Linked DNA regions of Yarrowia lipolytica. The protein of the gene in region 1 purifies or fractionates together with the protein of each later gene. This does not show direct contact. Links are inferred from orthologs where the notes say so. Each region holds a gene or a part of one and is shown in the gene's direction. Other genes may lie near its edges.

Region 1 (5,795 bases):
CGATTTGATCTGATCTACTCTAACTTAGTATCAGTGGAGTGCGTCACCATCACCACACCAACCTACGCGTGCCACACGACACTCGACTCCCCGAAATGCAGTGCCGCAAATGCTGCTTTGCATGCGAAAAATGGTGCTTCATAGGCGCCAAGGCGTTCCTGCCGCTCGTCGTCAATTTCCTCATCATCTGGGCCTGCTGGGTCCACGCATGGCTGGTGTGCTGGGAACCGCAGTTGTTTGAGTCCGACACCACCTTCTGGCGCGTCTACGGCGTGGCGGGCGTGGCTATCGGCATCATGTGCAACGTGCTCTATCTCAAAGTATGCAAGGTGGGCCCCGGAAGCCCCACCGACATCGACAACTTCTCGGTGCCACTGGTTGAGTACCAGAACGCATGCAGCGCCGAAGGCCAACATCTCACGCCTCCTCGAGAGATGGCTAACTCCGTGTGTGCCAAGGAGAATGGAGGTCTACGGTTCTGCACCAAATGCATCGGCTGGAAACCGGACCGATCACACCACTGCTCAAACTACAAGCGATGCGTGCTCAAGTTTGACCACTACTGCCCCTGGTTTGCCACGGCCATCGGGTTCCACAACCACAAGTACTTTGTGCTGTTTCTGTGGTACGTGACAATTCTGTGTTTCTTCTGTCTCGGCTCTACGGGCTTTGTCTTCTACAACCACATTCTGGAGATTGGTGCCATGCGCGGCCCGGACGGAAACACAGACTACGTGGGCGCAATATCCGTCAACGTCATGATCCTCATGGTCCTGGCACTGGTGTTTGCCATCGCGGTCGGCACGTTTGCCACCTTCTCGCTCTACCTCGTGTTCAACAACCAGAGCACGGTCGAGTTTCTGGAAAGCACCCAGTACCGGTCTGCCGTGCCCACTGCCGCATACAGATACACGTTTGCGCCTACGTCCAAGACGGTCGGAAACGTGTTTGACGTGGGCTGGAAACGCAACTTCCAGCTCGTCATGGGCGACAAGTGGTGGATGTGGCTGCTGCCTATCCAGCCCAGTGAAGCGGCCCGGGGCAACGGTACCCAGTTCCCCCTTAATAAACAGGTGCTGCAAAAGATCAGAGAGGCCGCGGCTAAGGAAGTCCAAATCAGAGACCAGAACCAGGCCTACATCAAGCAGCAGCGTCAGCAACAGCAAAAACGCACACAGTACGACCTTCCTCAACATCTCCAGCCTCCTCCTCAGGAGCACTATGAGTATGACGACGAGGCCCAAGACTCTGGAGACGACATTCCATTGATCAACATGGTCAATAAGAACAACACGAAATGAGAATAAGAGGTAGCCGACGAATGAATCGGGGGCCGACAAATTCTTGGAAGCTATCTCTCCCCTCCAGCATATAGACATTGCATTTAACCTGATATATTATACCCCATTCAGACAAAGATGCATATTCAGGCAGATCTTGGACAGTATACAGATACTATGCGGGTAAATTACTGTACCCTTTAATACCATACAAGTACGTAGATGTACCACTCAATTGTGTACATACAGCTACAGTATGTACTCGTTCTTGTACTATCACTTGAACATATTCTCGATTACATTACTCTACTCAGCTCGCTGCTTGATAGCATTAGACCCTCGGGCCTTGATGGCAATCACACAAGCGGCGGTGAAGAGAAAAACAAAAAAGCAGCTGGCGTTGTGCTTCTCCCGCTGGTACACGGCCTGGGTACGGTCCCGCAGGTTATCATAGATTTCAATGGCCTTCTTTTTGGAGCCATGTAGTCAGAGCTCATCCTTGTCGGACTTGCCCTTCTTCTTGACGTCCTTCTTGGGCTCCTTGGCGTCCTCCTTGGCAGGCTCAGCCTCCTTGGTCTCGGACTTCTCCACGGGGATCTCTCCGGCATCAGCAATGGTGATGTCGACCTTGGGGTTGGATCGAGCGCCGGTGGGGGCGTTCTCAATGGCGTCGACAATGTCCTGGCCCTCGAGAACCTCGCCAAAGACAACGTGCTTGCCGTCGAGCCAGCTGGTGACCACGGTGGTGATGAAGAACTGGGAGCCGTTGGTGTCTCGGCCGGCGTTGGCCATGGACAGCTTGTAAGGCTTGGTGTGCTTGAGCTGGAAGTTCTCGTCGGGGAACTTTCGGCCGTAGATGGACTCGCCTCCAGTGCCGTCTCCTCGGGTGAAGTCTCCGCCCTGGATCATGAAGTTCTTGATGACTCGGTGGAACTTGGAGCCCTTGTAGCCCTTGCCGGTCTCGCCGGTGCACAGAGCTCGGAAGTTCTCCACGGTCTTGGGGACCACGTCTCCGTACAGACCCATGACGATCTTTCCGAGCGATTCCTCGCCCTGCTTGATGTCAAAGTAGACCTTGTGGGTGATTTCGGCGTCGGGCTCGGCCTGTGCAGGCTGGACAAAGAAGGCCAGAAGAGCCACGAGCAGAACTCCAATGGTGGCAAACAGTTTCATGGTGGATAGTATCGTGTGCTGTTGTGCTGTGTGGTGGCAGTAACAGGGAAGGAGGCGTGCTTAAGTAGTCGTACTGTTGGGACCGTGTTGGTGCTACGTGGAAGAGCATAATGTTAAACAGGACCAATATATGTCACGTTGGAACTGGTGGGCGCAGGGAGATGGGCGCGAGGGGGAGGTCGCGGGGACGTCACGAGCGCGCTCAATTGGTGCAATTGGCCTCGTTGACCTAGTCATAACCAGTTGGTGACTGTATTATTCATGTATCCACGTTCTTGGGTGGGATTGCAGTGTATGTGGGGAGCCAAGCACGTCATAACATATGCCTGGGATCTGATTTTTTGAAAGAGGTGACAACATATCCCTCAGATGGTACACAACTACTTCCTTTTGGCATCTTTCTCTTTTTTAAAAGACCTCAACTGCGACTTTTATAAGAGTTATGTCAGGTCCCTGATTCACCAGCACCTCCCCACTACCCACCACTCATAACCTGAACCTAATAATGCACGATCCAACATGCAACTCTATCAGAAGGACAGAAAGATTCACACTCATAACCGTCTACCAGAAAGACACACAAAAAAACACACACAGACACACACATGGAATCGGGTGATCTTCCAAACGCAGCCACACCGCGAGACGTGCGTCTGCTGCATCTGATTCTGGCCTCCATGGGCGTCACCTCGTACCAGGAACGGGTGCCTCTTCAACTCATGGACTTTGCCTACAGATATACACAAGGCGTGTTGCACGATGCACTGCTGTACTCGGACCATGCTGCGGCCGCCAACAACTCTCACAACGACAAGACGGGCCCTGTTTCCGGCGGATCTGGCGGAAATGCCAACGCAGCAGCAGCAGCAGTTTCCACGTCGGCTCTGTCAGTGGAAGACGTGCGACTGGCTATTGCTGCTCGAGTCAACTACCAGTTCAAGCCAGCACCACCCAAAGAACTGCTTCTGGAGATGGCACAGGAACGTAACCGACGAGCTCTGCCACAGGTACAGCCTGGCTACGGCTTGAGACTGCCCCCGGAGAAGTACTGTCTCACTGCCAAGGAGTGGGATTTGGACGAGGAGGAAGAAGAGACTGTTGAGGGAGCTGAAGAGACCAATAACAACAGCAGCAATGAGGATAAGGAAATGAAGGATGCGGTCTAATTAGGTGTATTTTTATTGATTATTGAACTCCGCCGGAGTAAAGGTTGGAATTTCATGGATATTTGACGAGAGGTGTTCGTAGTGCTTCAAGGGAGAGCAAGAGATGCATCAGAAACCATTGAAAGACTGATTCCGAGACACAAACTACACTGCTGTACACATAAATGCATTCCACAGCCGTACGCTTCATTGTACAACATGATACCACGAGTACAATTAGTTACTTGTACTGAAAAAGCTATACAAGACCATTCGCTACGCTCCAATTCTTGAGGTCAACAACAACAATATAAATACACTATGCTAGTCTCGCCGTTGGTTACGACTGAATCTCGGAAAAGTTCTGCACCAGTTTTCCCACCGGCTTGACGTTGGACTCCTTGGCAACCAGCTCCACAAACTTGCCGACATGCTTGGAAACCACCTGTTTGTCCTTTTCGCTCAGGTTGGCCTTGCTCACGTGAGAAGCATCGCTAGCAAGCACCACAATGCCTGTTTCGGGGTCCAGCTGGCGCTTGAAGTCGGAGGCACTTCGTTTTTGGGTGATGCCGTTCGGGGATTCGACCTGGGCCACCGCGCCGACGTCGATGAGATTCGAGCCGGTGCTCGTCACAATCTGATGCAGGTTAGACATGCGTTTCTGGCGGTCCGAAGGGTCCACTGCATTATCGTCTGTGGTGTCGATTGTGTTGTTTCCAAGAAGAGGTTCATTTTCGGAGATCTGGGTTAGTAATCTGCATAGAGAGAGTGTGTGGGGAAAAGATGCCGGCAATCAAATGAATACTCACACCAGGAGGGTCTTCCTCAACGGGCCCTCTTAAGCAAGACAGCAAGACACCCATTTGCTGTGTGTTGTTAGTAAGATGGTGATGGAGATATGAAAGTGTGGAGATGCATGTTTGAACTTAGATGAATATCATAACAAGAAAGGAGAGTAGTTACTGGGATGTAATGGATATGTCGGGAAGGTGATGAATATGAAATATACCATGAAATTACTGGAGAAATTGATTTTGATACTCATTTTTGTAATTTATTGCATATTTACCAACTTAAACACTTTTGTTAATAATTACTTAACCCCCCAAGTAATACATCAAAGCCCATGTACTCCCAACCCTAACCCCCAAACAAGGTTCTGGCCAACCAAACGAAGGGTAAAATCTCAAGCTCTGTAGTAATAGCGTCAAGATCACGGTTCAGCTCGGAGGCTCAGAACACAACCCCAAAAATGCGATACACACAGCTGCTGCGAAACGTCTCCAAGGGAGTCCAGAAGAGTGGCCAGAGCGTCCTCGTTCAGATGCGAGAGGGAAGTGAGTATCTATGTGGTTTTTAAACCTGACTGTGCACTACACAACTACGTCTGATGTCACCACGACAGGAGACGAATGTCTTGTCTATGCCACTAACAAAGCTCCTATCGGTCTGACCGGTATCTACCAGCATCCCAACCCCCGACCGGCACTGATTGCCCTGTACGAGGCCACCCTCAAGGAGCTGCAAGACAAGCACCCCAAGGACTCTGTCTACCGACAGTCCATCGAGAACCTGACTGCTCACCGAAAGCAGATTGTGGAGGACAACGAGGTCAGTGAGGTGATCGAGAACAAGATCGGAGCCGGTCTCATTGAGGAGGTGGTCATCCAGGCCCACGAGGAGCTCGAGCTCGCCAAGAAGATGAGCGAGTGGAAGCCCTGGGAGGAGCTGGAGGAGAAGCCTTTGGAGGACCAGTGGGTTTACTTCAACAAGAAGGGTGTTGAATAAGGGTATAGCATAAAGATGTGGATATTGACGATCATGAGCGTGGTTAATGACCCGTGAGCGAACCAATGGCTTGTGAATGGTCCAATGAGTGAGCCACCGCAGTCGGACAAGCCATTTGCTCGGTCTCATGGCCTCATGAGAACGTAGACAAGTCATTGTTGGACAATGGTTTACAAAATGTGGGCGTAGAAATAGAACGGCTCTTTGATTAGCTACTTGTAGTCTACAGTATTTATGGAGAATCTCGTCATGTACAGTATGTACATACTTGTACGATAGAAGTGACAGATGACAGAGGTATACTTTTTTGAAGTTGTTTATTACCGTGCTAGATGGCGCCGTAGAGCGGTGATATTGATTCAATGAGCAGTCTACAAGTGTACCAGTACGAGTACCAGCACAAGAACGG
Region 2 (9,020 bases), on another chromosome or scaffold:
TTTATGATTGCATTCCAGTGCGTGGAATGACTGCTCAGAACACAGCTGGGGCAGATCTCAAGTATGTGCAGGATAAGCTAGGGGTAGAATGCTGGCTAGTGGAGATAGTCAAATGTTTTCATCGGTTCGTGTCTCGCTACTCCAGCAACCGCCGGAACAGTCTGTCTGCTCAACAGCAGTTGGGTCTTGTATCTAACTTACCCTTGGGTACTGGGTGACAGCCGTGGAGCAGTAAAAGTGAGTACAGAAGAGTCGTTATGGGCCCAATGGGGACAGGGAAGCTGGGCTATGCAAACTCGGCACAAGTCGATGGTGATCAGTTCCGAAATGGGTCTTCAGTCTGACCGTTGCAACTGATCTCCCTTTGACTGCTTTAACACCTCAGGAATCGGAACTCTCCCTGGTCAACCCACCCCTCCAACCATCCTTCCAACCACCCTTCCGACCACTAATACCATACATCTAGATTGTGCAAGTACATCTCTGGCAACTCTCCCTCCACCCCCACACAAAACAAAAGCCCTATATCCACCTAGATACTCTAAATACCTATCTGTGTCACGTCGCCGGTCGCGTGGAGTACTCACTAAATATCGTTGAGAAAATCGTCGTCGTCGTCGAGTCCAGACATGTTAACTATCTAGTCGCTATGTATGTGTGTGTGTGTGGTAGAGGAGAAAACCTCCCTCTGCGGTGTCACTATGCACTCTGTTTTACCCTAACCCATTCCCCCAATTGGGGAAAATATCGAAACGTCGTGTGTTCGATTCCTGTAAATGATTATGTTAAAAAAAAAGTCAAAGTCTAAAAAATATTTTGATAATGCGACTACTGATCTGAAAAAAAAAAAAAACACCACACAAACAGAAGCAATGAAGTACCTGCTGTTGCTGTCGCAAACGCACATGCAGTTTCGGCTGGCCGAACTCACCGCCCTGGCCCAGCTCGAAAATATCGCCGTTGACTTGTCGTCCCATGACGAGTCGTCTCCGTTCATGATTGTGGAGCTGGAGAACGACGAGGCTGCCAAAAAGCTGATTCGACGATCCGTGCTTGCCAAGTCCATCTACGAGCTTTGGGGCGGTCCAGCTGCGTCCATGGAGGAGCTTCACGAGCAGATCAAGACCCAGACCAGCCAACTGTGGCCCAAGTATGCCACCGACTCGTTCAAGTTTGAAATCATTGGATACCAATCTTCGCGACCCAAGGAGGAGTTTATCAAGATGGTGGAGGGGTTTTCATACATGGATTTCAAGGGAAAGATCAAAATGAAGTCGCCGGACCACGTGTTCACCATTCTGGAGGACTACCGAGTCATCGGGCAGAACCCCGAACCCGCTCCCGCGCGAATATTCTTTGGACGACACATTGCCAACTCCAACCGGAGTGCCATGGACACTTTTGATCTCAAGAAACGCAAATATATCGGCACGACGTCGTTTGACGCTGAATTGTCTCTTTTGACGTGCAATTTGGCGCATGTGAAGCGAAACGGGCTCATGTACGATCCCTTTGCCGGCACCGGATCGTTTCTGGTGGCTGCGGCAGCGTTTGGAGCTCTCACGGTGGGTTCGGACATCGATGTGCGCATGATCAGAGGCAAGGGTAAAGGATGCGATATTCCTGCCAACTTCAAACAGTACAACTCCGTTAACCGGCTTCTGGACGTTTTGGCGGTCGACTTCACCAACAACTCGTTCCGAAAGGGTCTCAAGTTCGATTCCATCGTCTGTGATCCTCCCTACGGAGTTCGGGAGGGTCTCAAAGTCCTGGGAGTGCGAGAGGAGGACGTTGAGAAGAAGAAGCATCTGGAAACGACTCTGGTGGACGGTCAGCTGGCGCATACTCGTCGAGATTACATTCCTCCAAAGAAGCCGTTTGAGTTTGGAAAGATGATGGATGCTCTGTTGAGTTTCTCGGCTGAGCGACTTGTTGAAGACGGCCGGCTCGCCTTCTGGATGCCCACCGCCAACCAGGACTACACAGACGCCGAGATTCCTCTCCATGAGGATCTAGAGCTCATCTGCAACTGTGTGCAGGACTTCAACCAGTGGTCGCGACGGTGTTTGGTGTACAGGCGACGAAAGGAGGGCGATAAGGGCGAGTTGAGAAAGACTGAAGGCGGTAAGGCTGAGGACTTTCGAGTCAAGTACTTCAAGGGGTTCAAGAATGAGTAAAGGTGTGAGAATGAGCTATATAGATGGTAATGCATGGTTATTGGAGACTGAAAATTGGTTTTATTTTCGTTATTTTGGTAATGCATGGTTATGGGTGACTTTTGGGACTGGTAATTGGTTTTATTTCCATGTTTTTTGTTTTATTTTCGTTTTATTTCGTTTTATTTTGTTTTATTTTGTTTTTTTTATTCTATAATATTTTATTAATAATCGTAATATTCCTGCTGACCGCTCTTCCGATCTATCCTTAAAGTTTAGTTAAAAAAGCTCCGTTTTAGTTGACCCAATACTTTGTAGTTACTTACACTGCTTCGCCAAAACAACACTCTCCAACTCACCCAGGACCACTCCTATCGTAAAAAGGAGAATATTGCCGGAATCTCCAACACCACCTGTCTCCACCAAACCCGTCCTCATCGCCTCTCGCCCATCCCCGACGCTTTTCCTTAGACCTCTCCCCGCTACCGCCAAACCTTATGCACCTGTAATTGCACACCATCACCATCACCAACCACAGTTGCGACGCCACTCAGTTACACACAGAAACCAACCATTCTACAGCATGTCGCGGGGATTCAATGTGGCGCACCAGAAGGTGTCGCTGGACGTGGATCTCGGGGAAAAGGTGCTGCGCGGCTCCACGGAAATCACGATTGTGCCGTCGGACCTGTCGATACGGCAGTTTCGGTTCGACTGTCGGCAGGCGCAGATCAAGTCTGTGTTGGTGAACGGCAAAAAGGCCACGTTCACACATCACGACGCCAGCGGCTACGAGGCGTTCAGCGACTCGCGCACCGTCTCGGACGTCCATCAGCACCATCTCTACCGAAAGTACATTGATCACGCCCACAAGGAGGTGTTGGAGGGAGAGCTGGAGGTGAATCTGCCGCGAGGCGTCAAGGTGAGCTATCAGGACACGTCACGGGAAACAGGGCCCGCCGCAGATGAGGAGGCCGTCGGGGTGTACGCTCCTCTGATTGTCACCATTTCGTTTGTGGTCCGGGATCCCAAGACGGGAGTCACGTTTGTCGGGGGCCATGGATCGAGGCTCAAAAAGTCGTTCTGGCATGCATACACAACCCACGCACCCATAGGAGCGGCCACCAGCCACTGGCTGCCGTGTGTGGACGGTCTGTGGTCTCGATGCACGTGGCAGTTTGAGGTGACGGTGCCCCGAACGGTGGGCAGTCTAGGAGGAGCAAGGGTCGAGGAAGAGGAGCCCGACGTCGATATGGAGGACGCAGACGACGACGAGGGTCTCGAAGGAGCCACTCCACGTGTCAAGGAAGAACTTGCCGACGAGCATGTGGTCAAAAAGGAACTCACAACAGAAACCGGGTCGCCAAAACAGACCGTTGACGACGATGATGAGGATGAGGAGATGGAGCAGGACGACAAGGAAGAGGAACTTGATCTGGAAATGGAAATCGAAATTGAGGTGGTGGGAAATGGAGCTGTGGTGGAGGAGCTGTCCCACGCCGATGCATCCAAAAAGACCATTGCTTACTCCCTCTGGAACCCCGTCTCGGCCCAGCACATTGGCTTTGCTGTGGGTCCATTTGTGGAGGCGCCTCTGCCTGATTTCAGAGACACAGACGAAGACGAGGACGGAGGAACACCAGCAGGATTCCCCATCAAGGTGTTTGCTCTTCCGGACCAGGTTTCCGACGCCTCAAACACATGTGTCTTCCTACACAAGGCCATCGAGTTTCTGACCAATGAGTATGGTTCATTCCCGTTCGACGCCATGAGCGTGGTGTTTGTGTCTGAGTATGGCAAGGCACAGATGGGCGCGTCTGGGGGTCTCTGTGTTGCCTCTGACGATTTTCTGTATCCTCCGGATGTAGTGGATCCCCTGCTTTCGTCCACAGAAGCTCTCACAGTTGCCCTGACTACCCAATGGTGTGGTGTCAACATTGTGCCACGCACCTGGAACGACACGTGGTTGACGCAAGGTCTGGCTATTTACATGGCTGCTCTGTTCATGAAGCGTCTGATGGGCAATAACGAGTACCGGTACCGGTTTAAGCGGTTGGCTGAGATGATTTGTGAGGAAGATGTGGGTCGCCCACCGCTCGCCAAGCCCCATTTTCGATTCCCTCTGTTTCCCAAGGATCTGAGCTTCATCAACCTGAAGGCTCCGGGAGTTTTGTTTATTCTGGATCGTCGAATGACCAAAATCGACAAGACGTTTGGTCTTTCTCGAGTCATTCCCCGTATCTTTCTGCAGTCTCTTTCTGGTGATCTTGTCAACAATGCTCTGGGCACAAACCACTTTTACAAGCTGTGTGAGCGAGTTTCGCACTGCAAGCTGGACGAGTTCTTTGACCAGTGGGTGTACTCGAGTGGTGTTCCTGTACTGCAGGTCACCCAGCGGTTCAACAAGAAGCGAATGTTCATTGAAATGGGTATTCGGCAGACCCAGACCGACAAGAGCGGCGAGAAGAAACCTGTGGAGGATACCTTTATTGGGGACGTTATTCGGAGTGAAGAGGGAGTGGATCATGGGGATGAGGAGGAAGGAGGTCCCAAAACGCCACTTTTTACTGGTCCCATTACAATTCGAATCCACGAGGCTGATGGTACTCCCTACGAGCATGTGGTGGATATCAAGCACATTTTTACCAAACTTGATATCCAGTACAACACAAAGTATAAGCGGCTGAAGCGGAACAAGAAAGAGGTGGAAGCTGCGGCCACTGTTACTGCAACTGCGGCGCCTCCTGCAGCTTCTGCTTCAAACAATGAGGAGGATGAGGTCGGTGTGGTCATCTCGTGTCTGGGCGATGTGCTACAGACCGATGCAGAGTTGGAAGAGTGGGAGCTCAGTGAGTGGGGCAAGGATGAGGAGATGCGCATGTCCAATGAGGCGTTTGAGTGGCTCCGAATCGACGCAGATTTCGAATGGATTTGTAAGATCCATGTCAACCAACCCGATTACATGTACGCTTCTCAGCTTCAACAGGATCGAGATGTGGTTGCCCAGTACGAATCGGTGCAGTTCTTTGCCGAGTCGCGACCCTCCAAGGTATATTCGACGATCCTGCTACGTACATTGATTGATCGGCGGTACTATTATGGAGTTCGAGTGGCAGCAGCACTTGGGTTGGTGAAGATGGCAGTTTCGGAAACGTCTTACATTGGTCAGACGCATCTGTTAAAGGCCTTTCAGAACTTGTTCTGTTTCCCCAACTCGTCTATTCCTCGATCTAACGACTTTTCGGATTTCCCCACATATTTCGTGCAAAAGGCCATTACTCGAGCCTTTTCTCAGATCAGAAATGGAGATGGCGAGTGTCCCGCAGAGATCCGGACGCTGATTCTAGACATTTTGGCCTACAATGAGAATTCAACCAACTCCATGAGTGACTCGTTCTACCTGTCTGATCTGATTACGTTTTTGGCCGATGTCTTGTGTTCGTCAGACAGCAACGACGAGTCTACTCGTGAATTTGCTGCCCGTGCAGTCAACGAGATTGATCGGTGTGGTCGCCTGGACACTTGGATTCCGTCGTACCAGAACGTGGTGACTGTGGCTGCATTGGAGGCCAAGAAGCGGCTCTTTCTCAAGGGTCTATTTTCTGCCAAGCTGCAGGATCTCATCCAGTTCACGCGTTCTGTCAACTCATCGGAGGTGCGTCTGGCAGCTTTCGAGGCTATGTTGCACATTGGTGGGCTTCGAAACCACTACATTATGCATTATGTGTTCGCCTCGGCTGCTCTGGACGACTCTGCGCGGGTGCGAAACGGCATCATCGACCTCTTCACGCGGTATCTCGGCACTTTGGCCATCAAGGGTGATATGTCTGCAGATAACCATGCCGATGACAATGACGGTATGATTGTCGATGATGGTACCCAGGCGGCGATGGAGGCGCGAAAGGTGCAGATGGCTCGAACGTCGCTTACTGGGGCTGCAGATATTCTTCGAGACATGCTCCGGCAGGACACCAGTCTCCAGACTGAGCTGTGGGACTCGCTACGAAGTCCATACCACGGTCTGGAGGCCAAGTCGCAGTTGCTAGACGTGTGTCAGGTGCTGTTTGTACCTGTGGATGCTTTCAAGGTCAAGTTGTCGACCCCCAGTCTGATCAAGTTGGGCGTAGACTATTCTTCTGGAAGTTCTTTGGCTTTGCGGGTGGAGTCCAACATTCCTGCTCCGGAGAAGACGGCCGTGTTGCCTGCCATCAAGAGCAAGCGGCTCAAGGAGCAGGCGCAGAGGTCGGAGATTGTGGTGGTATCCAAGAACAACCCAAAGGTCAAGTATTCGGTGAGGCCGGGCTTCAGGATCACGACAAATCCCGGTCCCAAAAAAAAGGAGGTCAAGCGGTTGTCGGTAAAGCTCAGTTTCAAGTAATAATGTATATTTATGATGATTGTATTGGGGGAGGGGGGAGGAGGTAGGAACAGAGAAGACGCAAGTTTGTAGGAGGAGGTGTAGTCGTTTCCACCAGTAGTACTACGACGCCTTTGCTGGAGAATGGGAGAGTACATCTGCGGTGAACTCTGCGGTGAGCTCTCGTGGTTCAGTTGACTGCTGAACACATCTTTTGGTCAAACACGTGACAATGTTGGTGGATTTCTGATGACCGGCCCGCTTCTTTTGAGTGTATATGTCTGTAGAGTAAGAAGGAGAGAATGTATATATTATTTATACGTCATGTCGTGTTTTTTTTTTTTTTTTTTTTTTTGTTTTTGTTTTTGTTTTTAAGTCTTCTTTTTTTGTATCTGTTTTTTCATAAAAGTAGTTGTTCGCCTCCAAGTCTGCGCTATGTTTTCGTTCCAGAGCACTTTGAGGTATAGACACAAATGGTACACAATCTCTATAGAGGCCAAAGATTTCAATAATGAAGTCCCTATGTGTCTAGCACCTCCATCGCGTTCTGTAAATGGATATTTAAACCTGGACTGGACATGTTCCGTATGTGCTACAAATGAGGTTTGTCATAACTCGATAAGGGGTCTATCAGTGGAGTTTGGGAGTTAAAAATATGGCATAATGAGGTCCAATAAATACAATAATCGGCTCTGTTTTTCTCTATCTCTCTTCTGGCATTCAGGAGCATCAATTCAAGATGTTTGTCTAAGTAGAATGGAACGATGGGTAATAATTCAGGCTGAAGAGTCACGTGTTCAAGCCAATTGTCCAAAGTGACAAGTGCTAGGGCTAATTATATCTTGTCTCTAAACCATTCCAATGCGTGCCCTTTGCGCTGGAACAACGGCGAATATTTTCAGTACAAACACATCGATGCAAGTAGGTACAGTATGTAGTCAAGTAAGTTGCTCTTGCTAGGGTAGCTAATGTGTAAACAGTGAATGATACAGTACTGATAGGTTGATTATCGTATCCTGCAGTAAACTGCTTTACGAGTAGAATGACTGACCGTCCCTGGTCTGGACCGTAAGCATTATCCCGGAAGCCAGTAGCGTAGCGTAGCAGTAGAGTCCGAGACGAGGAACTTGGGAATGGTAATTGATCATTTGATCACTGTAGCACTTTATACACCTTTTGAAAGGTCTTTGTTGATCCTCTGGTGGTGATTGATGGTAATTACTCTCTCTCAGAGGGAAAATGGAGAACACTATTAGGAGCTCCGGACAAATTGGAATCGTAATCCAAGGCTTGTGTCCATGGCACTGTCAATGGTTGTTTCTAGTGATTCGCTAACTCTTGGCAGTTACTCAATGCTTTCAATGGTGTCTAGACGTATTCATGACAATTTTCACGTCTCTTCGAGCTTCACGATGATGATGAAGATGTCTTGGGTATCGTCCAACCAAGGCACGAAGAAGCTGACCGACAACCGTGATGAAAGAGCTGACGAGGAAACGAGAAAGCTTGGAAAGAAGAACTTTCGAGTCTTCACGAGAAAAGGGAGGGACTGTTTGACGTTGTGGACTTGTGAAGGGAGCAAGAACAAGTACATAGGTGAAAAGGAATGGTGAGACAACTGCTGTGAACCATGGAAAAGACGATCATCTGAAGGATGTAGGACAATGAACCAACGGAGCTGAGTCGAAAAATCTACTTTGGGGTTCATCCTGATGTCAGCTAGAGTCAAGCAGTGACTAGAAACAACCCATCGACATGTAAGGCACATGCTGCGTTCTCATCGAAAAGTGGCAGCTCCGGAGACTCCTATTCACATCTCAAGTTCGGGGAACGGATCGAAACGTCGAAATGACCCCATTGGATAAAATCCCTGGAGAATCATGAGATCATGATCGGGTAACCTGATACACTAGCACAACAGTGTCTGCATGATGTTTTGCTGCATCCAGTGTGAAACAAGTCACCAGAATCACTGTAGATATACCTCCAGCTGGTTCATTAGTAGATAAATGACGCCCCATCAACTCAAACGATTTGAAGGTATATCTATAATGTCGTAGAGCTTTTTTGTCCCTTTCCAAACGACCCAGGGTATCTCTTGGTACGTCGTCTTGTCAAGTACAGTACTGAGACGACGTACTGAGAGGTGAGGTATTGAGAGGCGATGACTGAGTCGTAGAGTGGCTGAACGTGAAGTAGTGGAAGAATCTGGACCCGGCGCTAATCTGTGGAATGTCCAACATGGCATCCTCGTAGATGTGTGACTGTCGGCTTCTCACCACCTCTTCGTCTGTATATATTTTCGGTGACAGCCGAAGATATCGCTCCTTTTCGCTGCCAGCAGTTGTGGATCAATTGAGCAATTGTTCTATTGAGAAATTGAGGGTTTCTGAAGTGTTTGGTTTTTGTTTTTTTTTATATTTATTTATTCATTATTCATTTATTCATTTATTTATTTGTTTATTAATTTATTTTATTTATTTATTATTTATTATTTATTTATTTCA
Region 3 (8,766 bases), on another chromosome or scaffold:
AGTCGTCAGAATCAGATGGAAAGCTCCAGAATGTGATGATAGAGATATTTGGAAATAAGTGCGGGAATAATAACATATTTTGGTAGTAAAATTATGATTTCATTCTTCTAAACAGTCCCATGTCAGTTTCCCTGCTACTTAGTAGACCCCAAAGATGCCAACCCCCCTTACATATCATGAAAACTTACTAAACACATACCGATAAGACTTACCAGTGGGATATCCTGTAGCTGCCATTGAATATTAAATTATAAATTATTGATGTATATATATTTCCAAGCCGTTTGATAGCTTCTATTTCCTAGGTGGTGGTGCTCGATTCAGAGCCAGCTTGACAGTTCTGAGGAATGCTGTAATGGGGTTATTAGTAGGGGGCAGATCCTCTTCATCCTCCAAATCTGCTTGGCGTTCTTCGGTAAGAGTGGTGTCAGCAGCTTCAGCCTCAATATTTGCATTAGCTTTGGTCTCGGCCTCAACCTCAGCTTCCTTAGCAGCCTTCTCCTTTCTTTCAGCCGCTAGGATGGCCTCAATCTCCTTCTGTCTTTCAGCCTCTTGTCGTCTCCATTCCTCTTGGACCCTGAGATTCTCGGCCACTTCCTCAGCAGCAGTCTTCTCAACCTGTATCTCCTGGGAAGATTCGCTGTCGTCTGGTGAGTCCAAAATGGCCACCTCCTGCCGGCTCTGTTCCTCTGCCTCAGCCCTTTCCATGTCTACCGCTTCTATCGCCAACCTCTGCTCCTCGGCCGCCTTATCGGCTAGTCTTTCTCGTTCGGCCTCCTCGGCAAGTCTTTTCTTTTCGGCCGTGAAAGATGCCATAGCCTCCATAACCTGATCGGCCTGTTTGGCCCTCTCTTCCTCGTCAGCATGCTTCGTTCTCTCCTCTTTTGTCAGTCTGAGTCGCTCCCCCTCCTCTGTCTGTCTATGACGCCCGACCTCTTCACACTCTTCTGCAAGTCTTTGGCTCTCATCTTCAGCAGCATCTTTAGCCTCAGTAGCCGGCTTCGCCCTCTCCACCTCCACTTCCTCCTCACCCAATCCCTGAATCTCCTCCTCCTCAGCTTGTCGCAATCTTCCAGCTTCCTCGCCGACCAGTATCTGTTTCTCAGTTTCCTCAGTCTGTCTGACGCGTCCAACTCCAGTAACCGTCAATTTCTCAGCTTCTGCTTCAGCCAGCCCTTGTTTCTCGGCTTCTGCTGTTAATCGTCGTTTCTCTCCAGCCGGCCTCTCAGCAGGCTCTTCAGCAAGTGGCATCTTTTCCTCCTCCGCGTTTTGTAGACCAGAAGTCTGTTTCTCAGCCTCCTGCTGCTTTTTCTTATCAGCAGCTTCTTCAACGGGTCTCTTCTCCGACTCCTCGGCATCCTTTCTCGCTCTCTTGATTTTTCTCAGCTCAAGCTCTTCCACAAAATTCTTCGGCAAGACCCTGTCACGCCTCTTTCGGAAGCAAAATGCAACGATGCGTCTAGAAGTCTCATCAAACTCCAGCATGTCTGCAGGTAAAGCAGGTGTCTCGGGAGAAAGTGTGAAATCGAGGGATAGCGCTGTAACTTCCTTGAGTTCATTCTCGAGAGCTCTGGGCATTTTCTCTGGCTTGAATAGGTCAAGCTTCGCTTTTGGAAAGGGATTGGGAAAGAATATACAAGACCATGCCTCGTTGCTTATCTTAGATGAAGGCAGAGAGAGATTCACTTCGTAGATGATGTGAAAACAGATATTCATATTATCAGATGTAGCACCCGACTCCAGGTCTCGAGGATGTCTTACAAAGGAGCGATTCTGAAGAGTCATAAAATGGCCCAACACGAGATGCTCCCAAGTCTCGTGGGTGTTCTGGGTTCTGAGGAAACAGAATGGTTGGCTATTTTTCAAGGTATCATTGGGGTCTCTCACAGCTGTAGTTGCTTCTTCGAAAACTTCAGCTATTCGGGATGGAAGTGAGCGGGCCCGAAGTTCGTAGATGGACACTACCGTATCGAAAGGTACCATGTGCTTGAATGCCTTCTGAAGTACGCTTCCAAGCCATCCGTTCGTTCCTCGACAGGGGTTCATGCAAATTAGGGCCAAGGGCTGTCCGTATGCTCTTAAATGATCCAAAACGGCGACCCGAATGTCCCTGATCAGGTCCAGCGCGTTTTTGGGTTTGCAAGGTATGCTGAATGTGGCAGCCTTGGTGAGATAATCGATGAAGAGCAGAGAATATCCATTCGCGTTAGACAAAGGAAACAGGGCAAAAAACACAACTCCGGGTCGTTCGCAGATTGGGTTTAATTGCGAATTCTTCAGATGATGCTGAAACACCTTGTCCCAAATCGTCCTCTGCATCTTATCCTTCAAGCTTTGGGTCAAGGCCCTGCCACTCTCCGTCTCGTCAAGCCGTGCCTCCAGAGCTTGCAATGCCAGCTTCTCGTCCATATGCATGCCAGATATACTCCATGCAATGATACTCTCAACCATCTCCTTCGGAATTCTTCCAATGTTGAGTCGTTTCTCTAGCAGTTCGCTCACGTAAGTAGCATTCGTAGAGCACCCCGTCATGAAGTGAGCAGCAAGCACCACCCAAGGCACGTGATCTCTGGTCACTCTCACAACCTCCTCGCCCGTGTTTGAATCATTGTCGACGATAAAGGCGGCATTCTGACGCTCCTTCTCATATTCCTCCGGTTCTTGTAATGTGTAGTCCTTGGAAACGCGTCTGTACCATGCCGAAAAGAATAGAAAATAGGAGTCCAGCCGGTCGAAGACTTTCGGTAGTGACAAAGTCTCCCGTACCCTTTGCTGTAATCTGTCTTCCATGTGGCGAGTCCAAAAGACAGCTCGTTGTGCCAAAAAATCGAAATTGAGTAGTGAATGAGTTCTTCTGAACTTGTTAAGCTTGACCCAGCGCGTAAAGATCTTGATATGCAGGAGAAGAAACCCAACTATAAAAACCACACTTCATAACAACAACAGGAGTGAGGATAATGATGATCAGCAACCAATACTTGTAACAAAGACATGACTCACAAAGTGCTTAGTGTACAAAGTAATATAGAATCTACAAGTAGTCGGTATGTTGGTTATATAAATGTTAGGATTTAATCATACACGTTATACAGTATGTGTTCGGGTCAGTGCATGCGCTGACTTTTATATACACCTCGAGAGGCTATTGACTCAATAAAGACTCGTGGCAATGTACCAAACTGTCCAAAATCGAATGGCCATTTCCCTTTATCACCATTTAGAAATATTTCCTTGTCGTCTGGATTTGGTCATCATCCAATCTATCACTAGATAGCATGCTCTTCATCCGCTAGCCTTATGTAATCAACCCTAGCCCTGAATCTTAAATCCAATATGCAGCTACATTTACACCCCGTGCAAGAGTTACACAAACAGAAATGGCCGACGAAGACGCTGACTGGGCCAGAGCACTCGGTGGCGACCCTACCAACGTTGGAGGTGTTGTCCCATCGCTTGATGGTGCAGATGCCATCAAACACTCCGCAGACGCCATCGATTTCGAGGACGAAGACGAGCTGGCAGATGATGAGCTGCCCGAAGAGGAGGAAGCAACCGGAAACAACGTGATTGAGGAGGATGAGGAGATGATTGTCGAGGAGGAAGCTGGTCTATCCATGTCTGGGAACGATAGCCTGGGTGGCTTCCAGTTCCACATTGGCGAGGATGAGCTTGGAGGATTTGATCTGGGAGATGACGAACATTGGAGCCAGAGCTGGGGAGGCAACGAAATGGACGAGCTGCCTGTGATGGACGAGTACGATGATGGTGGTGTTGTCCATGCTGGAATGTTGAATAACAATGCCAACAGCAACAACCATGTCGTGCATGCCGGTGAACCTGGAGAGTCAGACGAAGAGATGGAGATGGAGGCTGCTGGAGGCGACGGGCTGGACATGAAGCTTGACGCAGATGAGCTAGGCGAACTGGGAAAGTTAGGGCCTGCCGACAAGATGGACGCCTCTGGATTTGATGACATCCAACACATGAACATCCAGGAGCTCAATCTGGAGGAAATTGCACAGATGGCGCGTCAGGCTGATCTTGACATGCTTGCAATGTACTTCCCCGGGTTCCAAAAGGGCAAGCCTATGAAGATGAACTCGCTCTTCTACAACAAGTTTGCTGTTCTGAGTCTGCCCAAGCCTAACACTGCTCGTCCGTGTGTCCCCACAAAGACTAAGCTGGAGGTGGCGCCAGATGAGCGTAAGATGACACGAGGAACAGTGTGGGTGGACCATGCTAAGCGGCGACCGGGTGTTGTAACAGTCACCGAGGCCGAGACGGGGGACGATAAGCAGGAACTGGCCCGAGAAAGCAGAACCACACAATCAGCAACAGACCAGCAGCTGCATTTCGACATTACTGACTGGAAGATCACGTGGGGAGATGAGGATGATGGGGATGGAGACGTGGATATGGATTGCGAGGGCGAAAAGGTCAAGGAGGAACAAAAAGAGGTTGTTCCACAGCTCGGCGTGCACAGAAACGAAGAGGCCTGGAACGACGAGGCCTTGTTTGAAGGCGATGCTCTCAGTCAGGTGAAGAAGGTCAACCTCGATATGAACGACCCCAACCTACTGTTCATCAACACAGATGGTCGTGTATCGAAGAATGTGACTCCTGCCATTCCCTCCACCGAACTACAGCTTCGAAACAGATTTAACCTCAGTAACGACCGAGCCTACGATATGCTCAAGGAGAACACACAGAGCAAGGTACGAGCCACTATTGGCAATCTGTCTATCGATCACTCCATGCCAGCTCTCCGACTGCAAAGTCCATTCTACAAAGTGCGAATCTCGAAGCCTCAGGCTCGTTCGTTCCATCGGCCATCATTTGTGGTGAAACCCAACACTACTGTTCACTTTTCGCGAATGAAGATCCGAAAGAAGAAGCGAGACAGGGGAAAGCCTATCAAGGATCTTTTGGCCAAGACTACGGACTTGTCGTTGGGTGACTCTGCTCAGTACTTCCTCATGGAGTACGCTGAGCAATTCCCCATGACCCTCTCCAACTACGGAATGGGCTCTAAGATGATCAACTATTACAGAAAAGCTTCTCCTGAGGATACTTCCCGACCTAAGCTCCCCGTTGGAGAGACACATGTTCTGTCGGTCCAGGACAAGTCTCCCTTTTGGAACTTTGGATTCGTCGAGCCGGGTAAGATTGTGCCTACTCTGTACAACAAGATGATCCGAGCCCCCGTATTCAAGCATACACCACGTGACACAGATTTTCTTATGATCCGATCAACTGGAGGCGATGTGACTGGGGCTGGCCAAAAGTACTTTCTGAGAAATATTCCACATGTCTTCACTGTCGGTCAAACATACCCCGTGACTGACGTACCCGGGCCACACTCTCGAAAGGTAACCACGGCTTCCAAAAACCGGCTCAAGATGATTGTCTATCGAGTGCTAAACGCATCACCTTATCATAGAATCAACGTGAAGGATATCGCCGAACATTTCCCTGATCAGATTGACACTCAAAACCGACAGAGGCTCAAGGAGTTTATGGAGTATCAGCGAACAGGTGAGGATCAGGGTTACTGGAAGGTCAAGCCTACCGATACTCTTCCTGGCGAGGACGGCATCAGAACCATGATCACACCCGAGGACATCACTCTCTTGGAGGCCATGCAGGTTGGTGTTCAGAACCTTGAGGATGCTGGATATGGTCGAACTGACGACATTGAGAGCGACCATGAGAATGGCGAGGAGTCTGGTCTTTCTCTGGAGGAGCAGTCTGCTCCATGGAACCTGACCAGAAACTTCATCAACGCTACCCAGGGCAAGGCCATGCTGCAGCTGCATGGCGAGGGTGATCCTTCTGGTCGAGGCGAGGGTTTCTCATTCCTCAAGACTTCCATGAAGGGTGGTTTTCAGGCCGCTGGTGAGTCTGTCAATGAGAAGCTTGACAAGAGCAAGTTTGGCGGACACAAGTACAACGTGGCCCACCAGCAGCGTGCATACGACGATGAGATCAGCCGAATCTGGTATGCCCAGTGTCGAGCTCTCAGCAACACCAAGGTACCTGAAGAGAACGACGAAGATTCAAAATGGGCCGATGCTGAGGAGCAGCGAGAACAACAAGAGCGGGTGTCTACGCCTGGTTTCACTAGCGCAGCCTTCCCCGACGATGATAACATGTCGCTCATGTCAGGCGACTCGGCCATGCAGCAGCGCAACAAGGTGCTGCGAATCACGCGAATGGTCAAGGACGAGCACGGTATCATCCAGCGAAAGGTCGAGACCATCAAGGACCCCAGTGTCATTCGAGCATACATTCGACGACGAAAGCTGATGGACGAGGCCAAGCTAACACTCGACGACTTAGACCCCACCAACGACGAGGAGGCCAACAAGCGAAACAAGCGGCTGCTGGAGGAGCGGCTGGAGGATCTGCGAAAGAAGGGCGAGCGACGAAAGCAGCGACAGGCCCAGAAGCAGGGTCTCAACACAATCAACCTCGGCACCGACACTCCTCCCCCTTCAGGCAAGGGTGTCGGCAAAGGCAAGGGTCCGCGACAGTGCAAGAACTGTGGTGCATATGGCCACATTCGAACCAACAAGAGTTGTCCCATGTACAACCAACTCGAGGGACCTGCCAACCTGTAGTTGTATAGCATGGAGGAATAGTAAATTATTATGTATTATTGCACAGGTAAAGACGTAAAAAAATCGTACAAACAAGAGAAAACAGTGGTCGGTTATGGTGCTACAGTATGTACTGCACATACAGTATTAACAATACTCATTAAGTATAAGTGTTTGAGAATGGCTCGGAAAAGGTTGGTGTGATTCAATTACATAGGATAAATGGCCTCATACATCAGGCCTTCTGTCGATTCAACATCAGAAAACTTGCCACTCCAATGCTCAACTCTCTTGCCAACTCGGGGAGGATCAATCATCATCTCTCTCTTGTCCACATTGATAGCACAGTAGAAAATCCAATTGAGATAACCGCAATGGTTCTTGAGAATGTTGAGTCGTTCTAGAAGATTGAATGATCCATGGTGACACTGATTATTCTCTGGTCCAGCGCAGGAATAGACATCTTCAATAGGAGCATTAATACCTGTGGGATCACTGATGTAAACTTCTCCCAGAGTATGTGAATAACCAGCGGGCCATCCAACAAAGAAGTCGTTCCAGTGAGTGACTCGGTACATCCGTCTTTCGGGGTTGATGGTAAGTCCGTCGTCTCCTTGCTTAAAGAACAGAGCGTCCACGTAGTCTGCAAAAGCCTTGTTTCCAAGTCGAGGCTGCCCATAGTTGATTAGCGTTGGATCATATCCAAGATTCTTCAGGTTGATGCCCATGAATAGAGCAGTGACAGCTCCTAGAGAGTGGCCAGTTACGATCAATTTGTAGTCAGTGTTGTTTCCAAGGAAGTCGACCAGACGATCCTGTACGTTCACCATAGTCTCTCTGTATGCCTTCTGAAAGCCATCATGAACTTGGCAGCCAGGACAATTGATACTGGCAGAAGGGTTTGTGGAGTTTATGTCAGTAGTGTTAAGAGGAGGGATACTGGTCATGTAGGGTTGTTGGATCGTTTGGATGTCAGTAATAGCGTCTGCAATGGAGAAAGTGCCTCGGAAAACAATATACTTTTCCTTTTTGGTGTGATCGTGGGCCAAAAATCCAGTAACTGAAGTCGAGAAGAAATTTCCTCCAAACTGGTAGTCAAGAGTCACATCGGGAAAATGAGCGCAAGAGTTTCCACAGGTAAAATCGCTCTGCAGGGCAAATGGGCCAGGGGCTCTGACACAATAGGCCACGTTAGATAGCCATCCGTACTTGAGAACAAAGTCGTATGTCTCCTGGGTGATAGGAGCCGTTTGCGCGAGAGCCTGAGCAACAAGAAGAAAGAGGGCAATGAACGAGAGCACTGAAATTAGCAAAGGAGATAATTAACTGAGGTACTGAGTTGGAAAGGTTGTCATTGAGTTGTTCTGAGCATAAGCTGACAGTGGTGAACGTTTCCAAGATCGATAAGCATTCTCAGAAACATCAACAACTTCAACTCTTAATAGTCCACCGCCACTTCCAATGGTACTGTACCACAACTAGCTGTAGACTTCCTGCCAACAGACAATCCTGTGACATCTTCTCGATGATGGAAGTCCAGTCCATCTCTCCATACTCACTTGCAACTTGTGTGATACAAATTAGACTGACTGAATGTCACTGCTGCTTCTATCACCTCCTATGCTGAATCCTCTACATTTATATACTGGTACTGTTGTGTGGTACATACTGTACTACAACATGTATTAGCCTAATGATCTGTTCCATGTAACCAACGCATGCTACAAGTAGGTCTCTCAAAGCTAACTCTGCTATGAGCTCCATACTGGAGTTTAAGATTGAATAGAGGGTGGGCAATATTCCCAGAGACGATTAACAGACTTGGTATGTGATCTAATAGTTCCTTGTTATACCTTCAAACTGCGGATTGTGTATGTCCCTGTACCTGCATCTTGATGGAGAGAGCTCCGGAAAGCGGATCAGGAGCTGTCCAATTTTAATTTTATAACATGGAAACGAGTCCTTGGAGCTAGAAGACCATTTTTTCAACTGCCCTATCGACTATATTTATCTACTCCAAAACCGACTGCTTCCCAAGAATCTTCAGCCAAGGCTTCCAAAGTAACCCCTCGCTTCCCGACACTTAATTGAAACCTTAGATGCAGTCACTGCGAGTGAAGTGGACTCTAACATCTCCAACATAGCGACGATATTGCGAGGGTTTGAA
Region 4 (6,953 bases), on another chromosome or scaffold:
GTGGCAAAGTTGACTGACTCTGCACAATTGTATCCAAGATTATAGCCGGCATGATAGCCATAAGGAAATGTAATAACAAATTCTCCCTGGTAATGGTGCAGGCGGTTAACAGTGAGACCGTGGCGCTCCAGCAGTTGAGGAGAAACCAAGAAGGTTTTGTGGCGTAAGAATTCCTTGCAGGCTTTGTGATCTTCTGGGAAGGTGTCAGCCATAATCTGGTAGAACTTGGCTTCATCCTCCTGATTTACAGAGTACCACTGTTTAGGTGCACCAAAGTGGATGTAGTTGATGGAATACAGGTCGATATCCTCCAAGTGCCAGGCAAAAGTCGACTTCCACAGACCACAGTACAAGTACGCATCATTGACACCAGGGATCTTGATATCCAACTGGTTCAACAAGTTGTCCAAATGGGCCACATTCCATGAGCGTGTCTTGTCGTCAAATAGTGACCCAGGCATATCGGCACCGTACATGGGCTCTTTGTAGGCGATCGTTTTCCAGTAAATCTTTTCTAAGAAGTCCATCCTCTCCGTGGTGAATTCAGAGTCATCAAATCTATAGTCGAAATCCTCAAAAATGGCATCGTCTTGGGGTATGTTCTTGCGTTTCTTGAAGTCCTTGCGAGATTCTCCTCTCTTGGCTGGGGGCTGATAGTCAGGCTGCTCACTCAAGTACTTCCACTGTGCAATGTTGTAAGACTTTTGCTTCTCGATGTTTTGTTGGCGGAAATGGCCAGCATGGCCAGAGATGTGCTGAACAATCGGGTTTTTGATCTTAATGCCTTTGACAACTTCATCCAAAGCAGGTAGAGACTCATGCCATTCCTTGGGAGGAACGACTTTCACAATGCCAGCTTTCATACCCCACTTGTCAATCTCCATGATGAATCGATTGAAGTCCTCAAACTGCTCCATGGTAGGCCGGAAAATTGGTACCCCACCGCCACCCTCTGATCTTTCCCAACCTGGGTCAGGTAAACATTCTGGGATGTCCAGGCCGCCTGGCGTAGGGTTGGAGCTTTCAAGCACGTCTGACCCTGCTACTTTTCGAAAGGGGGCAGAGTGCTGGTCAGACATAGCTTCTCGTGAAACCTCAAGTTGTCAGTGTCTGTAATATCGTAAATCTCTGTACGCGTGAAGAGAGCACTTGAATATCAGACCATGGCTGCTGGACCAAGGGTATGCATATCGAGCTTTAACTTCTTGAACCCTAACACACACAGACCCAAATTGGGAAGTGTGAGATATCAGATGATGCGAAACGACACAAAACTAACTATATTATATAAGCAAAGTCTCTTATAGCTGCAAGGAATGAATACAAAAGTCTCTAAATTGTTCGAGAAAGCTCTCAATTACACCCAAGTGAGCACCTAAAGTATTATTTCAGCTTTAATAGCCCACACGCTTTATATACACGTGCACAACAAACGTGTGCAAGTGGCACTTGTATACGAACTGTTTCGCACTTGTACCGTATGTACATACCACGATACAAGTATCGTACAAGGAGACACAGTACGAGCTTATGCCGTATGTACAAGTATCGTATACAGTACTGTACATTTAGCTATAGTACTTGTACCTGTACTATACGATGTGTTGTATCAAACATACATGGTTATACACATTTGCAGTGTGTCGTCGCATGAGAGATCACATCTCACGAGCTACAGTATCACATCTCACGAGCTACAGTATCACATCTCACGAGCTACAGTACGAACAACATCTGTAATGTCGATAGAGAATCTGGCGTTTTACAATACCAATACAGTACAGTACTAATTAGTGCATTACTCATACAATACATATCATAGCTACAATTACCCGTTCCGTTACTGGTACGAGTACGGTAGAACTACGTAAAAGTAGTTACATGCATCAGCTACGAACATAAAAACATTTCGAATAAACATGTGAATCAACTAGTGAATCAATAATACATTTTGCTATTTTAGTTTCGCTTTCGGAATCGTCGCTCAGCAGACTGCTGGGAAACGTGGACAACCTTAAGGGGAAGGGAAGAGAATCCGAGGGTCTTGAGGAGGTCGGCAGTATCGTTGTCAACCTGGAGCTGGTTGTCGGTGTGAGAAAGGTCAAGAGCAGAGATCTCGGGGACGTACTGGTCCTTTCGCTCTCGCTCCTCCTCCTGAAGCTTGAAGGAGATACCTCGGACGGGACCCTTCTGGATTCGCTTCATGAGGTGGGTGGTGTAGCCAGCGATCTTGTTTCGGAGTCGCTTGGAGGGGATAACAGCGATCTCATCAGCAAGTCGCTTGTTGGTCTCGAAGTCGAGGGTGAGCTTGGGGTAGTATCGCTCAATCATGACCTTGGAGGCCCGCTTGACAGTCTTAGTTCGAACTCGACCCTGGGGTTAGTAACGGCCTGGAAATCACCACGGAATCCTTCTCATCTTGTCGTCGCAGATAGATTCACTTGTCGTTTGTCAGTCGTGATTGTGCCCGTCACACTGCCACCTTTTCACACTCACCATTTTGTGCTATTTGTTACTGGCGAAAAGTACACTGAGAAGTAAAATCTCTACAGCTTTCGTCAATGTGCGCGGGCCAGCGTTGGGACGTCCCGATTAGGCAGTGCACGTGCTTGGGCCCAGAATCGGACTGTCAAAATTTAAAACGGAATTCAACCCTAAACCAACAACCAGCCATCAGAGCCCCTCCCACATGTAAGTCCCAAACCCTAATAACCAAATTGAGACTGGTCGTTCGTTTTCAAGACGCCTCCCACATAAGCAAGCCCTAATCTCAAAAGCCCCAGGAACATGTTGAACATCAAACTCCAAGCAATACGACCGGGTAACACCATACACTGGCCTACACTGAACCATGACATACCCTATGAGATACAATGCAAGTACAAATCGCGATGTAAGAGAAGAGGCGATTTGACGCTTTCGGTAAATAAATTATACAGTGCGCCACCAACATACAAGTTTGTACAAGTAGCTGGTGTGAGCAGTGAGAAATTAACACACACCTCCAGAATGTGGCATTAAGCTTCGAAAGTGGGTTGGAAATTGGTCACTACGCCAATAAATTAGCATCGCCGCTTGAAACGACGTGGCGCACAGGACAAACAACTGGACACGAAGAAGTCCAGCCATCAACCAAAGAACGACTACGTCTAAATCGCAATAATGACGGTTATCCATCGCAAAAACGCGCCGACAAATCCCAAGGCATCAGAGCCAGGCGTCAAGTGAGTACATCATACATCATGTCCCAAATGCACTCAGCATGGTTTATATATTTTTGCAGTTTGTCAGCAAGTTGTTGCTGTATAGTTGCTCCAAGGTTGTGTCAAGCGAAGGAATGTGCTAGAGTCCCCCGTTGACTCGATTTCGATACACTTTCATCACCCCATGCTAACTAAATCCAGATTTCACTGCGACGTGTGTTCGTGTGATTGCACCAACCTGGTAAGAATCCGATGTGCGGAGTGCCAGGACTACGATCTGTGTGTACAATGCTTCTCTCAGGGTGCCTCATCAGGTGTCCACAAGCCCTACCACAACTACATGATTATTGAGCAGCATGCTTATCCTATTTTCACTGAGGACTGGGGTGCTGATGAGGAGTTGCTATTAATCGAGGGTGCCGAGATGCAGGGTCTTGGAAACTGGCAGGACATCGCTGACCATATCGGTGGTAGATCAAAGGAAGAGGTTGGGGAGCATTACAAGGAAGTCTATCTGGACTCGCCAGACTACCCGTTGCCCCCCATGAAGCGGAAATTCGAGATCACTGCAGCTGAGTTCGCAGCAAACAAAAAGGAGCGTCTGGATAAGCGACGAAATATGCCCACCGCTCTCCCTGTGCCCAAGCAAAAGCCCACGGCTTCTGTTCCTGCATGCCATGAGGTGCAAGGGTTTATGCCGGGACGTCTGGAGTTCGAGACCGAGCATGAAAACGAGGCCGAGATGACGGTCAAGGACATGGTTTTTGATCAGGACGACACCGAGGCTGATGTGGAGCTCAAGATCACTGTTCTTGATATCTACAACTCTCGTCTCACATCACGAACCGAGCGAAAGCGAGCCATCATCAACCATGGGCTGCTTCAGTACAGGAAGAACGCCTCTGTCGATAAGAAACGGACCAAGGAGGAGCGCGAGCTTGTAAACAAGTTAAAGCCGTTTGCAAGAATCATGACACTACAGGATTTCACCGATTTTGTTGATGGAATGATTATTGAGCTCCAGTGTCGACGACGACTGGCTGAACTTCAGGAGTATCGACGTAACGGTATCACCACCTTCGAAGCTGCGTCCAAATACGAACGAGATAAAACTGTACGTGCAAACGCATTGGCCAGGCTGCAGGCTCCCATTAACTCCATCAACTCGACTGGATCCAGATACACTGCAAACTCGATGAATGCTGCAAACAATGCTCTTGTTCAAAAAACCAACAAACAGGCCGCTGCCGCAAACCAGGCTGCCGCCGAAGCTGTGAAGATGGACCCTGACTCGGGAGCAGACACCTTACGGCTTTTCAGAAAACCTGTGGCCAATCCCCTCGACATCTCGCATGCCCCAGACGTGGAGCTGCTTTCTCCAGAAGAGCAGGTTCTTTGTTCCCAGCTGCGTATCTTGCCCAAGCCGTATCTGGCCATCAAGGAAACGCTGTTCCGAGAGCTGCTGCGAACCGGAGGTGTGCTCAAGAAGCGTACAGCCCGTGAACTGGTCAAGATTGATGTCAACAAAACCGCTCGAATCTATGAGTTTTTCCAGTCTCAGCGCTGGCTCTCTTAGGGCCTTGTTGCAACCCATATATAATGCTGAGTGTCACCAATCTCTTGGAATCCTGTATATTAGTTAATTTATTCAAATACAAACATTAGAAACAAAACCGCGAACACTAGAAGGGACAAACATCGAGTATCGTAGCTATTATACAAAGTTTATTGCAGTCTACTTCAGCTATACTCCCTTGCCGGGTATGTACTTGTACTTACCAAAGAGACCTGATCATTCCGCAGTTACCTCGTAGTTGTAACTACTAGGGTGCTGAACGACCACCTCATGCAGGACATCTAGCAGCTTAGTAACTAGATGGCTGGGCACATCTTCTCTCAGGGTGATCTGTGGTGTTTATGCAGTTGCCACCCATTATCCAGTCTTTGATCCACATGCCCGTTGCTCTATGCTTGCAATTTGCTTTCTCCATCTTTTTGCTGGTATGGTGCAGACCCAGGAAACTGCGACACCACCACACCATTCTTGTCTACACACTCGAAGTTGTATCTTGAGAGGTAATGTGGCAACGCACAAAGCTGGGGTCCATATCGCGCGGGGTTGTCATAGAGCTCGAAAAGAGGGACAGCAAGGAATGTCATATTCGATGGTACGAAGAAAGCAATCTTCTCGGGCAGAGAAATGAGGAAAGTCTTCTTGCATTCTTTTGGTCGAGAAATGTGCGGTGGCAGAAATGGATACATGAAAACCTCGAAGTTAGGTCTCCACCATTGCGCCAGGCAGTCTAGTACCTTCCATGACTTCGAGTTCTCCTGGTCCTCTCCGTTCTCAGGGCTGAGCCTATCTGCGAGCTTCCTCAGCAATCCACCCTCCTCGTCCTCCTCGTCGGGGTCCAAGTACTCTCCGGGAAGTTTAAAAAAGTTGTTTGGCAACTGGAGTAAGAAGACGTAAGGAGTTCCGAACTCATGACACAGAAATACCCCCTCCACGTACCGCAACATCCCCGATTCGTCGTACATGCTTTTCAGTCGTTGCATGCGCGCCTGCACAGAGACATCCCTCTCAACCTGAGCATCCTTGGTTGCGAACACGTAGTTGGAGGAGGGATACAGTCGTATGGTCTGTTGGCGCGCTGCAAAGTCTTGCGTTGGTGGTGGAATCAGTGTGGTTTTCCGTGACGATTGCGGTATGGTCGTCATGGCATGAAAGAAACTATGGGGAGGCTTGTTGCTGCTGCCTCTTACTTGTAACTTAGCTCCATGCATGGCCCATGTACGATCTGATTTCAGAGTAGAAGGCTCTTTTGGGCAGATATATGACTAATCAGCACAGGTTTGTGGCATTCCCATTTTTCCCATCTGGGTGTTCGAGGTGATGGTTGCTATGACACGATGGATGCCTCGCTGTGCCTTCCACATGTGGCTAATTTAGCCTTGACACCAAGCACTCTTTGTTTGGGCACGTGACGTAGCTGACCTTACAAGGTTCAGATCAACCATCTGGCCACACCATCCAACACAACCAACATGAGACTGGCCCCGCTTTTTATCGCCGGAGTGCTAGCTGCTGAGCCATATTTTTTTGATTCTCGGGGAGAAACAGATCTCAACCCCTATAGCATAGGCGACGATCTCCCTCTCGAATGCATTAAACGAAACATCCACGACGGAGAACACATGGTCGATGAAAAGACCCAAGAAATTCTTTATGAGGACTTCCCCATCTGCAGAGAAACAGGAAAGCCCCTCTCTCTTCAATACCGTGTTGACCAAGATGTGAATTGCACCATTGGATTCTCCGACACGCTCTACCACCTTTTCCAGCTCTATATTCACGAGGATGCTCCCTTCAGCTGCAGACTCAGAGCCTCCAAACAAAAGAACAAGAACGTGCTCTCAGAGCCTACAACCTGGCTTCCGTTGACATTCACCATTCGTGGCCACATTCAGGAGTCTCATTTGGACATCGACCCGAAGCTCAATGCCGTGATGATGTACTCGCGAAAGACCGAGACGCCTGTGGTAGCAGCCGCGTTTTCCAGAGGAACGGAGACCGAGAGATACAAGAACGGTGATTTTCTGCCCCTCCAGCTCTCTGTTAAGTGGTATCCCGGTAGCAACAATAACGAGGTGTTTACCCTCCCTGCCAACCCTGACTCCAACTCCGCTTTCTCTTCCACCACGCTCATGTGGTGTGCTGCAACCATGATCGCTACTGCAGCTATTGTGACC

Evidence for each region.
Region 2: the proteins of YALI1_E27243g (region 1) and YALI1_C19529g purify together in Saccharomyces cerevisiae (affinity purification with mass spectrometry; 5 studies listed by BioGRID, with this or other methods). This does not show direct contact. The link is inferred for Yarrowia lipolytica from reciprocal best matches to the Saccharomyces cerevisiae genes TAF9 and TAF2.
Region 3: the proteins of YALI1_E27243g (region 1) and YALI1_F39885g purify together in Saccharomyces cerevisiae (affinity purification with mass spectrometry; 14 studies listed by BioGRID, with this or other methods). This does not show direct contact. The link is inferred for Yarrowia lipolytica from reciprocal best matches to the Saccharomyces cerevisiae genes TAF9 and TAF1.
Region 4: the proteins of YALI1_E27243g (region 1) and YALI1_F19244g purify together in Saccharomyces cerevisiae (affinity purification with mass spectrometry; 9 studies listed by BioGRID, with this or other methods). This does not show direct contact. The link is inferred for Yarrowia lipolytica from reciprocal best matches to the Saccharomyces cerevisiae genes TAF9 and ADA2.

Annotation. Positions count from the first base shown.
Region 1 is NC_090774.1:2,721,604-2,727,398, reverse strand, and holds YALI1_E27243g (uncharacterized protein), read left to right. Parts: upstream 1-3,058; coding exon 3,059-3,619; downstream 3,620-5,795. Other genes in the region: YALI1_E27273g (uncharacterized protein), read left to right, coding at 96-1,301; YALI1_E27249g (uncharacterized protein), read right to left, coding at 1,767-2,453; YALI1_E27229g (uncharacterized protein), read right to left, coding at 3,939-4,340, 4,408-4,461; YALI1_E27218g (uncharacterized protein), read right to left, coding at 4,955-5,542. UniProt on the Saccharomyces cerevisiae protein: Functions as a component of both the DNA-binding general transcription initiation factor complex TFIID and the transcription coactivator SAGA complex.
Region 2 is NC_090772.1:1,950,236-1,959,255, forward strand, and holds YALI1_C19529g (uncharacterized protein), read left to right. Parts: upstream 1-2,739; coding exon 2,740-6,534; downstream 6,535-9,020. Other genes in the region: YALI1_C19500g (uncharacterized protein), read right to left, coding at 588-631; YALI1_C19510g (uncharacterized protein), read left to right, coding at 777-2,177. UniProt on the Saccharomyces cerevisiae protein: Functions as a component of the DNA-binding general transcription factor complex TFIID. Binding of TFIID to a promoter (with or without TATA element) is the initial step in pre-initiation complex (PIC) formation.
Region 3 is NC_090775.1:3,983,201-3,991,966, reverse strand, and holds YALI1_F39885g (uncharacterized protein), read left to right. Parts: upstream 1-3,377; coding exon 3,378-6,620; downstream 6,621-8,766. Other genes in the region: YALI1_F39891g (uncharacterized protein), read right to left, coding at 295-2,790; YALI1_F39844g (uncharacterized protein), read right to left, coding at 6,809-7,546. UniProt on the Saccharomyces cerevisiae protein: Functions as a component of the DNA-binding general transcription factor complex TFIID. Binding of TFIID to a promoter (with or without TATA element) is the initial step in pre-initiation complex (PIC) formation.
Region 4 is NC_090775.1:1,920,927-1,927,879, reverse strand, and holds YALI1_F19244g (uncharacterized protein), read left to right. Parts: upstream 1-3,162; coding exon 3,163-3,224; intron 3,225-3,404; coding exon 3,405-4,779; downstream 4,780-6,953. Other genes in the region: YALI1_F19268g (uncharacterized protein), read right to left, coding at 1-1,079; YALI1_F19249g (uncharacterized protein), read right to left, coding at 1,960-2,373, 2,861-2,953; YALI1_F19218g (uncharacterized protein), read right to left, coding at 5,169-5,987; YALI1_F19216g (uncharacterized protein), read left to right, coding at 6,249-6,953. UniProt on the Saccharomyces cerevisiae protein: Component of the transcription coactivator SAGA complex. SAGA acts as a general cofactor required for essentially all RNA polymerase II transcription. At the promoters, SAGA is required for transcription pre-initiation complex (PIC) recruitment.